2 linked regions of the Arabidopsis thaliana genome follow. The protein of the gene in region 1 interacts with the protein of each later gene in a biochemical or structural test. Each region holds a gene or a part of one and is shown in the gene's direction. Other genes may lie near its edges.

Region 1 (8,518 bases):
AGAATTCCAAAACATTTCACAATTTGATATGGGTGACGTACATTTTAGTCATCATTTTAGGAAATTTTTAGATATATTTATATATATTCAACTAAAAAAGCATCTAATTTGAAATGGAGAAAATATTTGATTTTAAGTATATCATAATCAAGGGAGGTAAATGATGATGATGATGATTGATAGGTTTTACGTGGACAACATCCCAATAAGAGTATACAAAAACGAAAACGGCGTAAGTTATCCATCAAAGCCTATGCAAGTCGAGGCTAGTCTCTGGAACGGTGACGATTGGGCGACTGATGGTGGTCGGACTAAGGTTAACTGGTCATACTCTCCTTTCATTGCACATTTCCGAGACTTCGCCTTATCCGGCTGCAACATAGATGGTCGGAGTAATAATGTCGGCGCTTGTGAATCCTCCAACTACTGGTGGAATGCAGGCAACTATCAAAGATTAAGCGGAAACGAACAGAAACTTTATGAACATGTGAGGAGCAAGTACATGAACTATGACTATTGTACTGATCGCTCTAAGTACCAAACTCCTCCTAGAGAATGTTATTGAAGTAACATATATACGTTAATTATCATATACGTATAGGGGATTTTTAAATCTACTTTTTCTAATTAAGAAACAAAAAAATTACTGCTTACGAGTTACAAGAGAAGAGAGTTAAGTTATAGTGAAAATATAATTGTGTATGCTCAAAATGTTTTTATATGATTGCAGAAGATAAATAAGATATGTTTCTTAACTAGTTAATTTTTCGGTTCTCGTTTAAGTGCCTTACCCGGACGGTAGGTTCCAGTTTGCCAAATCAAATTGGTTTTTGAAGAAGTTAGCTCTAAGAATTAAAACATCATGGTACAGACAAAACATTTCTGCATGTTACATCGGACTCTCCTGTGTCCGAAACGCATCAAATTTCTGCAATCCATTTCTAAACTCAAGCGGCACATCACTCAGATCCACGCTTTTGTAATCAGTACTGGTAATTTACTTAATGGAAGCTCTATTAGTCGAGATCTCATCGCTTCATGTGGACGAATCGGTGAGATCTCTTATGCACGTAAGGTGTTCGACGAATTGCCGCAGAGGGGTGTTTCTGTTTATAATTCCATGATTGTGGTTTATTCTCGTGGAAAAAATCCAGATGAGGTTTTGCGACTTTATGATCAGATGATAGCTGAAAAAATTCAACCAGATAGCTCAACGTTCACTATGACGATCAAAGCGTGCTTAAGTGGTTTGGTTTTAGAGAAAGGAGAGGCTGTGTGGTGTAAAGCAGTGGACTTTGGGTATAAAAATGATGTCTTTGTTTGTTCATCTGTCTTGAATCTGTATATGAAGTGTGGGAAAATGGATGAAGCAGAGGTTTTGTTTGGAAAGATGGCGAAAAGAGATGTTATTTGCTGGACAACAATGGTGACAGGGTTTGCACAGGCTGGTAAGTCGTTGAAGGCTGTTGAGTTTTACAGAGAAATGCAGAATGAAGGGTTTGGTAGGGATAGGGTTGTGATGTTGGGTCTCTTACAAGCTTCTGGTGATCTCGGGGATACGAAAATGGGCCGTTCGGTTCACGGGTATTTGTATAGAACAGGTCTTCCTATGAATGTAGTGGTTGAAACCAGCCTGGTTGATATGTATGCAAAAGTTGGGTTTATAGAGGTTGCTTCTAGGGTGTTTAGTAGGATGATGTTTAAAACCGCAGTTTCGTGGGGGTCGTTGATCTCTGGATTTGCTCAAAATGGATTAGCTAATAAAGCATTTGAAGCTGTTGTGGAAATGCAGAGCCTTGGGTTTCAACCGGATTTAGTGACGCTTGTTGGAGTACTTGTGGCGTGTTCGCAAGTCGGGTCATTAAAGACTGGTAGATTAGTACATTGTTATATTTTGAAAAGGCACGTTCTTGATCGAGTAACCGCAACTGCTTTGATGGACATGTACTCAAAATGTGGCGCTCTTTCAAGTTCAAGAGAAATCTTTGAACATGTAGGAAGGAAAGACTTGGTTTGTTGGAACACAATGATATCTTGTTATGGAATTCATGGAAACGGTCAAGAAGTTGTATCGTTGTTTCTCAAAATGACGGAATCAAACATAGAACCCGACCACGCCACGTTTGCATCACTTCTCTCTGCTCTTAGCCACTCGGGTCTCGTAGAACAAGGCCAACATTGGTTCAGCGTCATGATAAACAAATATAAGATCCAACCGAGTGAAAAGCATTACGTTTGTTTGATTGATCTTCTTGCACGTGCAGGGAGAGTCGAAGAAGCTCTTGATATGATAAACTCTGAGAAACTTGACAATGCTTTACCAATATGGGTTGCTCTTCTTTCAGGATGCATTAATCACAGGAATCTATCAGTCGGGGACATTGCGGCTAATAAGATTCTCCAGTTGAATCCGGATAGTATTGGGATCCAAACACTGGTTTCTAACTTCTTTGCAACTGCCAATAAGTGGAAAGAAGTGGCCAAAGTGAGGAAGTTGATGAGAAATGGGGCCATGGAGAAGGTACCAGGCTACAGCGCGATCGAAGTAAATGGGGAGCTTCGAACTTTTCTCATGGAAGATCTGAGTCACCATGAACATTATCACATGTTGCAAGTGTTGAGGAACTTGAAAACTGAGATAAGAGATGTATGTTCCGGAGTCGAATAGTTCTGTCTCTATGAGCATCCATTCTTATTTCAGTATGTATATATACATCCATTTCTGACTCATGTGGCCCTATTTTGGAGTGAGGTTTTAGTCAAAAACTCTAACAATACATTCCACGCGTTGAACAAGAAAACCAAACCGGGTCAATTTCAATTTTAGTGAGAAGAAAATACCAAGAGGTTCTTGGTCCCTTTGAGAAAAGCAGAGTACCAAAGTGCAAATTCAAGTTAATTGACAAATGTGAAAGAGACTTAAGAATTGAGACTTATTAAAGAGACTAAGAGAGTGATAAACCCCTTAAATAATGTATTGAGAAACCCTTACCTTTGTGGCTTTGTGACACTGGTTTGTATGGTTGTGGCGGACAAATTCGTTTGCGGATTGAACCATTTTATATATTATAGTCCGTAAGAGTATGGATTGAGACAAATAGAAGAAATCCGTCGTGGACCAATTTATATAAAATAAACTTGATTTGGGGTGGATTGTTGTATGTCCCAAAAATAGAGTAACGCTCCAAAACTAAATAACACCAAAAGAATTAAGAATGCACACGATCTCTTAGTTGTCTTTAGTCTTAACTAACCATATCACTTGACTACAAAAAATAAAAAGACACACTCACGTTGAGAAACTGATGAAGCTGAACGATCTGTCTTCTTTGATTTGATCTTTCTTATTTTTTCGTGAACAATCTCTAAAATATTCCCATTAAGGCATTAACCATGTGAAAACACTTGTACGTGTGGACTATATAGTTCACGTGTGTATGAGTACGGGAGCATTGAATAATTATCGCTACGGCAACCACAAATAAATTGATGTGAACAACGCTGAATACTTTCCATTTTTCAACTTTGTCTAGTAAAAAATTACTAAAATAATGTTCCAATTATGGTTTTTAGTGAACATCTTATTGTCATTGGTGATTCGATAATAGATGCTACGAGACATGTTATTTGTTCTTGGAAGAAAGAGGTACGTAAATTCTCAAAAGGGTCTTTCAGTGTAAAGAGGCAGCTTTGACTTTGCTAACACAAAAAGTCTCCATATGATTATTTTCTTTTTCTTTTCAGAAGTTAATATTCTCAATTTCTCATAAACATTTTCAATTCTTTCTTTTGTTATTGGTTGAATAATTTTGTTGAGTTTTATAAATGATGTTTTAATGTGAAAACCAAGAAACAATTGATCATTTAATTAGTTTCTTGATTAGTGTGCTAAAACCTTAAACATCAACTAAGATCAAAAAGAGATTAGGTAGTTGTGGTCAACCACCTTTGATGATAACTTTCTCATTTCTAGTTTTCTAACTATTTTGTTCATACTGCCTTTTTTTTTTCCTTGTACTCGTAGAACACTTTTTATTTACTTACTATCACTTTGTAGTACTCTTCACAAAACACTTTTAAGTTTTCTCTAAAAAAAACTATGAGTGTAAATAATAAAAGTATACGTACTAGCGTTAAATGGCGATATTTGTAAAAATAGTTATTGTACTATTTGTATCACAAAAATTGCAAGTAGTTGATTCAAATGGTAACCTATCTATAGACGAATTGGTACCAATCGTCACCAAAAGAAATTTCAGTTATTACTACTCATTAATCCGCTAAAATCCAAGATCAATAATTCACTAAATTCTGCTATAACATTGTAACATTGTTGCTATCAATAATCAAATTATTCTATTAGCATATAATTATTAGATCCACAAAACTTATCTACTAGAGCAGAAGATTCCACCAAAAGTTGCTTCCGACCCACATATCCAATTCTTTAGGACAAAAATATTTATTACAATCTTTTAAGAGGAAAACAATGTAACATGGACACCAAAATAAAGCCGCCTTTAACGGTGACGGTAACGGTAACGGCGTTTGAGTGCTCTTGACAATACATGAAAATTTAGTAATAGAGTTAAGAAATGAAATTAATAGAGTTTGGAGTGAGACAAAGAGAGAAGAGAAGATTAGAGAGAGGAGAGGAAGGGTCAAAGAATACATAGCATCACCACTAGTCAACGCTTTTATAAAACTTCTTCTTCGTCTCCTCTCCTTCTCACATCTCTCTCTGTCTTTCTCTCTCAAACCTAACAAAAGCTTCAGACTTCAATTCTTTAGCTACCTCTCTCCCATGGCAGTAAGTGTTTTCTTTCCTTCTTTCCTTCTCCTCTTCTTCTTATTTAGGTCTAGAGCTTTCTCTCAGATTATAGTTTTTGTTTCGATTCCGTCAATCTCTGACCCTTTTTTTGGAGGATTTGTAGAAAGTTGAGTCTTAATCTATTTGCATTTATGGTTCTTCCTATTGAGATAACATTTCTATGGATTGCGATGTCTATTAGTATTCAACTTTATGATTCTGATTTGCTTTAGATAAGAAAAGGGTTTTATGAAAGTTACTATTTTTATGGTAAAGTTTCTATTTTTGCTTAGCAAAGATTTCAACTTTATCATTGTACTTGGTCGAAATCGATAAACCCAATTTGTATTTGTTCTGTTTTGGATTCTTAAGTGAATTTGCTATCTTGTTTCTGTGATGATTGTTCTTTAGGATGTTATGTTATTGAATGTTTTGTGGAAGGACATTGTTGTTGAATTGTTTGTTGCAACAGCGTTCGAATGTACCAAAATTTGGAAACTGGGAAGCTGAGGAGAATGTTCCTTACACAGCTTACTTTGACAAAGCTCGTAAGACTCGAGCACCCGGTAGCAAGATCATGAACCCGAATGACCCGGAGTATAACTCTGACTCTCAATCACAAGCTCCTCCTCATCCTCCTTCTTCCAGAACCAAACCTGAGCAAGTTGACACGGTTAGAAGATCACGTGAGCATATGAGAAGCCGAGAAGAGAGCGAGTTGAAACAGTTTGGTGATGCTGGTGGTTCATCAAATGAAGCTGCTAACAAAAGACAAGGAAGAGCTTCTCAGAACAATAGTTATGACAACAAGTCACCTTTGCATAAGAATTCTTATGATGGTACTGGAAAATCTAGGCCTAAACCTACCAACCTTAGAGCTGATGAAAGTGTAAGAATCTCACTTTTAACCTCTAAAGTGAGAATATCTCTGTTTGTTGCTTATGTGTTGTCATCTGTTTATATATAGCCTGAAAAAGTCACAGTGGTGCCTAAATTCGGTGACTGGGACGAGAACAACCCGTCATCAGCTGACGGATACACGCATATCTTCAATAAAGTCCGTGAAGAGAGAAGTTCTGGAGCAAATGTGAGTGGATCTTCAAGAACGCCGACTCATCAAAGCTCCCGTAACCCGAACAACACTTCCTCAGTAAGACATTCTTTAAAACTCATTTTCAAGTATAATCATTAGTGAATACGTATTCAAATAGTGAGTGTGTGTTGAACATTGGTTTGTCTTGTGCAATTTGACAGTGTTGCTGCTTTGGCTTTGGAGGAAAATGAAAGGGACCGGAAGATTGTATATAGTTATCGAGAAATCAGTGTGTAATCTTGATGATTAGACATTCGTGCTTCTTTAGATGAAATAAGGCATAAGTCTCACTTGCATAAGATTTTTATAGTATAATTTTTGTATGTATATTTTGCAATTCTTCCTTAATACTTTTGGTGTTTTCATAAGACACATTCCAGTTTCGGATCTGCTTGCAGATGCATTATATCTTGCTTGGTACGGCCTGAGTGATTTGGTAACTGATTTGATATGAATCAGAGATATTTGGGTACCTCCAAGTTTGTTGTTTCTAATGTTCAAAGCCTTAACTCTGCACCACTATAAAGAAAGACCCATAACTTTTTATATAAAATCAAGATTAAGATCTTTGGAGGATGATGACTCGTATGGTCCATATGATATGGACATCAAAGAAGAACGAATTGACACTTGTTTCCTATATGGCTTTGTACAGTGTAATCAGGTTTGATTCTCCAGCTTTATGTACTTACTATTTCAGCATTCTCTATGCCCAATAATTAGACTTAAATGCAATCTTTTTAAACCCGACCTGGATGGTGAACTAGACTACTTTTTAGGTCACGGGGTCAATGGATCAACCGGATTCGACCACGGATCAATTGATTAAAATTTATTTAATATTATAGAAATTATTAGTTTGTATAAATATAAATATAAAAATAATTATACCATGGTCTAACAATAATAATAAAGTAATTAAATATTTAAATCTAACTAAAAGTCTAAAATAGTAACATATACTAAAATAGTAGGAGTAATGACGAAAATAAAATAATAAAACATCGCGAATTCAAAACAACTAATCTCGGTTGTCTCTATCACCATTCCATTCGTTTTTTTAGGCGGTATTGTGAGATTTTTGTCAAAATCTAAAATATCTTCTAAGTCTTAAGAATTAAAAAAAAAAATCTAAAAATAACCGAATAAAGTCTAAACTCTTATATTTTATTCCAGAATCAAATGAATTTTTAAACCACCATTCTTCAAGCTTTGGTTGATACTTGGTTAGCTTGAAAAACGGTTTAGTGATTTGGAACATGCGAAGAAAGCTTATGATTCTAGTTTGAAACATTAATCTCGTTGCATACCACTCAGAATCTCGCTTGATGATTTTGAAGAGAAGGTGAATGGGCTGAATCCTAATTCATATTTGATATGATCCTAATATGATTGTAATGACTACCTGGTTTTGTTACAATATACGAAAGACCCATTAGATAAGTATATAGTAGATGTAGAAAACATAATAAGATTGAATTTTTGGAGGTTTGATTCGAAACCAAATGAGCCATTTAATATGTTGGACATATGTGTCCAATGATTTGATTAGTTCAGCTAGAGTATTACATGGATTGGACAGTGAGTTTGTTCCACTTTCTCCGATGTATTTGTGGCGCAGTGTTCGTCGAGAATTAACTACATTAAATGACTGCAAAGCTAAGAATGAAAAGTTGTTGGAAGATAAGAATGCAAAACTATGGAAGCTATGAATGGTGTACATTGTTGCTTTGGACAAAACATAGTTAACGGATTGATGTATGCAAAACTACATGGGGGTACCAGCATTCTACTCGAGATGCGGAATTGTATAAAATTACTATTGACTTTACAATAACCTATGAGGCAAAGGTGGTAATTTGCAAAAATGGTAACAAATTGAAATTTGGTAATGGTGGATACATTGATGTCAATCTTGAAATAAAGCTAACTCTAGTTGGTCAAAAAAATAAACGTAAGGCAAAATTGTGTTGTTATAGAATATTTCTTAATCGGTAATCAAAACTTGTGAGGTTGTAATATTTTGCAGGAGATGAGAGGAAAAAAATGGCTAATTAGATTTTGATTATCTTTTGGATTCTTAGTACTCAAAACTTTTTCCTTAGTAATAATGGCGAACACATTTTGCACTTTGTAATTTGAGACTAATCTCATAAAATCATTACGGTTCATGCTAATTATACACATAGAAAGAGTAAAGCAATGCTATTATGATGCATCGAAACGGGTATACAACCAAAAAACAAAAAGAATGGCAAAAAATATACAAACAAATAAATATAGGATTAAGACAATTACAATAAAAACAAATACATAAGTTAAAAAGAAAGTCATACTTAAGTCTCAACGTAATATTTTTGAAAATTCTTTAATTTGAGTTTAAAAAAATGATAAAACAAATTTTCTTTTAAAAAAAAATCCGGCTCATCAAGTGAGAATTGCAAACATCAAGAATCTCATATATATGTGCCATTGTATCATATCAAATGTCTCTCTATATCAACATCTTACATCTTAGTCTACACACATATATATTGAGTTATTGATCAAAATTCCTTGATAAAAGTCGTAGATTCTTGTGGATGTAAATTAAATATTTCAATTTGAAAAAGATT
Region 2 (5,819 bases), on another chromosome or scaffold:
GATTTATGTGGCGTTCATTTGTAGTACTTATAAAGCACAATCAGTAGAGTTTCACCACGCTTTACACCTTTTGCTTAGGTGCCTCCATATTTCAGAAATAGTAATTAGAAGTTTTAAATGTTTCTCATTTTCTGCATTGATAGGTTGCTGCCGTTTTACTTATTGTGCATTTGATTGTGAAACTGGAAACATCTGGCGCAGGAGCATTGTCTATGGTTTTAGTTGAGAAGATCAAACTCATATCAGAAACTGTAAGTTCCTCTCTTTTGGATCGATCTATATCTTTGGTCTTTTCAATACACCTTTCAAGGCCTTGTCATATCTGAATCTGTTGCTTGTTTAACAATATGCTGACAGCTTTGTGCTCAACCTGCTTTTTCTGAGTTGTTGGCGCAATATTCAAAACTTGGTTATAGGTAAGACCATTATTTCTTACATTTTTGCTTTTCCAGCATTTCTTTGCTAATTTTCAAATTCAGTAGCACATTTATCTTTCTTAAATCTACAGTCGGCAGTGCTTCTCCTTAATCTTTAATTATTCGTTCTCATGTTATTCAAAAGGTTTACCACTGTTTCACATTTTGCTTACAATCTATTGGGTTCTATTTCTAGTGGAGGAAAGGAGTTGATGCCTATGATTTTCAGCGATCTATACTGTCATCTTCAAGGAAAACTTGAGGGTCGTGATATCCCAACTGGTCCTTTCAAAGAGCTTTTCCAGTTTCTAGTGGAGACGAGCTTTTGGGAGAAATATAAACAGAAAACTAATAAGGATGTAAATATGGCTTTGGGGGACTGTTTGTTTGACACTCAGCAAATACAGACTGAATTAGGTATTGATATTTGGGATTTCTCTGAGTGGAAGACATCTAAAACAACGGCAGAGGAAATGTTGAACTACATGCAGAGAGCAAACTCGATGGTTTTACTCTCAACTTCGCAGCTCTCTGTTTTGCATGCATTGATTTCCGTCTTGATACTTTATGAGGATAATGTAAGTTTCTCTGTTTTAATTAGCTTTTCTGAGTTTATCCCATCATAATACATTTATGGGCTAGATTGTTTTTCCTCATTTAACGTTTTAGCTAATAGCTGACTCAAACATACTAGACTATTGGAGTACATAGGCCGGTTTAGATTAATTCTATTTGTTCGGTTTAGTATTGGTTAGATCTTATACCACACTTGTATATAACAGAGTAATTGTACAGTGTAATCATTAAGATGAATGAGAAAGTTCTAATGATTACACTGTACAATTACTCTGTTATATACAAGTGTGGTATAAGATCTAACCAATACTAAACCGAACAAATAGAATTAATCTAAACTGGCCTATGTACTCCAATATAGACGGTAGAAATGTTGTATGTCCCACTTTTGGGATCTTAATTTAAGATTTCGGTACATCTAAATGCTACACCTTATGTGCAGTCTCTTGAAGAAAGTGCAGCTGCGGAAAGGAAAATCCCTTCTCGAGTCACTCTTTTAAGCATTGATAAAGTATGCCGAAAATTTTGCACCACGGTTGATTCACTTGCCTCTCTCTGGGATGCACCCAAGATTGTGTTTGATATTCTTACAGCACAGGCAGACTTGCTATCCCGCCTATTGAAATCCGCAAAGAAAAATCTTTCATTATCTGTATGTGCACTTGTCCTGAGAAATGTTGGGCCTGGCCTCAAGATCCTTGGTAGTTTGAGGCATTCAAATGCTATATTGAAGAAGACGATAAACCTCCTGCTTGAGGTGCTGCTCCTGGTTGTGGGTTTTGGTTCAGACAACTCAAACTCGAGTGGGATGGGACATATGGTGCTAGCCAAAGATTTTGCAGAAATATCTGATGCTACAATTGGATTATTACCCCTTCTCTGCAACTTCATGGGGAATCCCGAGTACTTGACTCTCTGCCTGACCACAGTAGACTTGATTCTCAGGAATTTTTTGACGCCAGAGACATGGTTCCCTATTATACAGAGTCAACTCCGCTTGCAGCATGTTATTCTACAGCTTCAGGATAAGAAATCCACAACATCCGTTTCAGCAATACTAAAATTTTTCTTAACTATTGCTCAAGTTCATGGCGGTGCTCAGATGCTTCTAAATTCTGGATTTTTCTCGACTTTAAGAGCTTTGTTAATGGAGTTTCCGGATGGAATGTCTACTTTGGTATCTGACAATGAAAAGGGCTCGCTGCTAGAAAAGACAGAAAAAACTCAGCATATCTGGGGAATCGGTTTGGCTGTGGTTACTGCCATGGTTCATTCTCTAGGATCTGTTTCTGCAGGGGCTGATATTGTGGAGAGTGTCATATCTTACTTTTTCTTGGAGAAAGGTTACATGATCTCATACTATCTCGCTGCACCAGATTTCCCTTCTGATGATCGTGACAAAGTGAGGCTACGAAGTCAACGGACGTGGACTTCCCTTGCTTATCTGAGAGTAACCGAGCATACTCTCCTTCTGCTGTGTGCATTAGCTAGCCATTGGAGATCATGGGTTAAAATTATGAAGGATATGGATTCTCCATTAAGAGAAATGACAATACATCTCTTGGCCTTTATCAGCAAAGGCGCTCAACGGCTTAGAGAGTCTCAGAGCCACATATCTCATCTGTTATGCCCTCCAGTAGCGAAAGAAGAGTTTGATTCCTGCAAAAGACCGTCTTTCATCAATACCAAACACGGATGGTTTTCGCTAGCACCTTTAGTTTGTGTTGGGAAACCCAAGATCACTGCAGTATCTATCTCGACTGCTCTAGTTGTTAGGGGAGACACAACAGAACATCCTGGGTCTGTTCCTCAATCGCAATTTTCAGACTCAGTTGCGATACAGATATATAGAGTGGCTTCTCTATTGTTGAAATTTCTGTGCTTACAAGCAGAGGGTGTTGTTACGAGGGCAGAGGAAGTGGGATATGTCGATATTGCTCATTTCCCTGAGCTTCCAGAGCCGGAGATTTTACATGGTCTACAGGTACGTTAATTCGAGACCAAGAACGGTTACTGGTTTCTATTTTTTTTTTTTTTTTTTTTTTTTTTTTTAATCATCCTCTCTTTGCTTGGTACTACAATGTGTATATTAAAATGCAGGACCAAGCGACGGCGATAGTCGCTGAGCTATGTGATAATTACAAATCCAAAGAGATTCCAGATGAAGTAAAGAAGTTGTGCCTTATGCTGATCCAAACGACAGAGATGTCGTTATACTTGGAACTCTGTGTAGTTCAGGTTTGCAGGATCCATCCTGTATTTGGGCGTGTGGATAACTTCTCCAAAGACTTGAAAAAACTAGTGAAAGGTAACAAGTGTTTCTTCCATAGTAATATTGACAAGACTATTTTGGGATTTGGTGCCTTTTTTAAAATACGATTTAGTTGCAAGGAAAAAGTGAAAACGGTTTCGTAACATTGCTGCTTCTTTTGTTTTGTCTCGATCAGCTGCTGAGGTGCATACCTACTTAGAACCGTCCATAGATTCACTGAAGAAAATAGCTGCGTTTCTGTATCCTGGATCACTTTAGAAACAAAACAAACATGAGGACCATGCTTGAATGTGGTACGTATGTATTAGATTCCTTCCTTGATGAGTGATTAAACCGGCTATTGTACCATTGGTATATGTTAGTCATATAATAGTATTATTCTCTTTATTTCATATCATAGCTTTAAAAAAATGTTCGGCTCATGCTGTCCACTCCTTTTGGGCCGCTCGTTGCTTTCATTTTTTTAAATTGCTTACCTCTCAACAAATTCTTTTGATTGGTTCTCTCTCTGACTCTAGGCCGCAGAAAGTGCAGTTCCGAATAATTCTCACTCAACTAACTTTTGATAATCACTTATTCTAGATTATTCTGATTTTTGAATTCCCTCTACTCTTGAACACGTTTACTTACTATGAGGAAAAATTTAACCCTAAAAAGAAAACCACTCATTACAGCTAACATTTATGAGGGGTGGACTATTGCGCAAAGCATTGATAGTGTTAATTGAAAGTCATGCATATAGTATGCGTTACTACTAAAGTTTAACGGTTCAATTTTTTTGAATTTGAACTGACAGTAAATAAAATTAATTTTTAAGATTAAAAGACGTTGTTTTTAGCAAGTTGTTTAGAAATTGTGGGACACGTGTGGCACGTTGCTCCAGGAGGGGCATATGCCAAGTCTGAGATACTCCAACGCACTGACTGACTGACCCCTACTTAACCGGTGGTCAAACTCTTAACCTAACCACGGTTAAGATCTTAAAGCCGTTGAGATTTTCCCACATGTAATAATCTTGTTTATCTGTGAGATATTCGCCGCTTCCCCTTGGCCGGCTATAAATCGATAACCTCACCGATAAATCCTCTATTCATCATCCACAACAAACCTCTTCTTCAGTCTGATAGAGATCTCACGTTTCAAACAACAAGAATGGCGTTCCCTAAGGTATACTTCGACATGACCATCGACGGCCAGCCCGCGGGAAGGATCGTGATGGAGCTGTACACCGATAAGACTCCCAGGACTGCCGAGAATTTCAGAGCTCTCTGCACCGGAGAGAAAGGTGTTGGCGGTACCGGAAAACCCCTTCACTTCAAGGGATCTAAGTTTCACCGTGTGATCCCTAACTTCATGTGCCAGGGAGGAGATTTCACCGCCGGGAACGGAACAGGCGGTGAGTCGATCTACGGGAGCAAGTTCGAGGACGAGAATTTCGAGAGGAAGCACACCGGACCGGGGATCCTGTCGATGGCGAACGCCGGTGCAAACACGAACGGATCTCAGTTCTTCATCTGCACCGTGAAGACCGATTGGCTTGATGGGAAGCACGTGGTGTTTGGGCAGGTCGTGGAAGGCTTAGACGTGGTAAAGGCCATCGAGAAGGTTGGATCATCATCTGGAAAGCCGACGAAGCCTGTGGTTGTTGCCGATTGTGGTCAGCTCTCTTAGGATCTTCCTATCATCATCCTTAATTTAGCATCATCGTCGTCATTGTGGTGTCTCTTTATGCTTTTGCTTTTGTTATGGAGTCTTTTTAAAATTTGTAGTCATAAGTTTGGTGTGTGTTCTCATGGGAACATATATAAACTTGCCCCTTTAATATTAACTACCAGAAATAAGGAATGAGCACTCTTTTATCATATCTAATTTACGTTACCAAATTTCATCTTTGTTATCTGCATTTCCGTTGGAACAGATAAAAATACTTGGTCGAGTTTTTGTTCACCTATCTAATTAATGGTGGACGACGTTATGATCCACGTTGACGCAGAGGGGCTACACCACCACAAGGTCTTGGTCTAAAAAAGTAACACACGTGATTCTGCAGAGAAGCAAATTAGAAAACCCAATTAATGGCAATAATAATAAACAATACCAGTGGGCCTATTTTTTTGTTTAAATCACGGGTTTGTCGATAAGATCAACTTTAGTGGGCCTTCAAATATAATTGCCTTCGTACTCACTATTATATGAAAACGAAAATTTTCCACCTGAAGGCCGGCCCATCAAATCAGGCCCCAAACCAGTTTTAAAATCCACACGATTTTTCTGGAGACTGTGATGAATGATTGATGACATACCAATTACCAAATCAAATAAATGTTTCAGAGAAGACTGAATCTCATATTTATATGCAGCCAGCAGGGACGCATATGCCTTTAATTACGATTTCAGAATAAAATAATTGTGAGGGAAGCCAATACGTGTGAAAGCCAAAAATGAAAATAGTATAGCTGCTGTGATTTATTTGCTTGCTAACACAAATTTCATTTTTTGGAAGATTTCACGTTTGTGTACTCAGTTTTCGTAGAATATAAAAAACTCATCTTACA

The links. The genes of interacting proteins can lie anywhere in the genome.
Region 2: the proteins of RIN4 (region 1) and ROC1 form a complex in vitro, tested with the Arabidopsis thaliana proteins (one study listed by BioGRID).

Annotation. Positions count from the first base shown.
Region 1 is NC_003074.8:9,127,654-9,136,171, forward strand, and holds RIN4 (RPM1 interacting protein 4), read left to right. Parts: upstream 1-4,484; 5' UTR 4,485-4,804; coding exon of another isoform or gene 4,805-4,810; 5' UTR 4,811-5,237; coding exon 5,238-5,699; intron 5,700-5,777; coding exon 5,778-5,960; intron 5,961-6,064; coding exon 6,065-6,094; 3' UTR 6,095-6,435; downstream 6,436-8,518. Other genes in the region: XTH3 (xyloglucan endotransglucosylase/hydrolase 3), read left to right, coding at 184-565; AT3G25060 (Tetratricopeptide repeat (TPR)-like superfamily protein), read left to right, coding at 863-2,668.
Region 2 is NC_003075.7:18,082,736-18,088,554, reverse strand, and holds ROC1 (rotamase CYP 1), read left to right. Parts: upstream 1-4,303; 5' UTR 4,304-4,416; coding exon 4,417-4,935; 3' UTR 4,936-5,160; downstream 5,161-5,819. Other genes in the region: AT4G38760 (nucleoporin (DUF3414)), read left to right, coding at 144-251, 358-416, 613-994, 1,435-2,976, 3,093-3,300, 3,440-3,522. UniProt on the Arabidopsis thaliana protein: PPIases accelerate the folding of proteins. It catalyzes the cis-trans isomerization of proline imidic peptide bonds in oligopeptides. Involved in de-etiolation.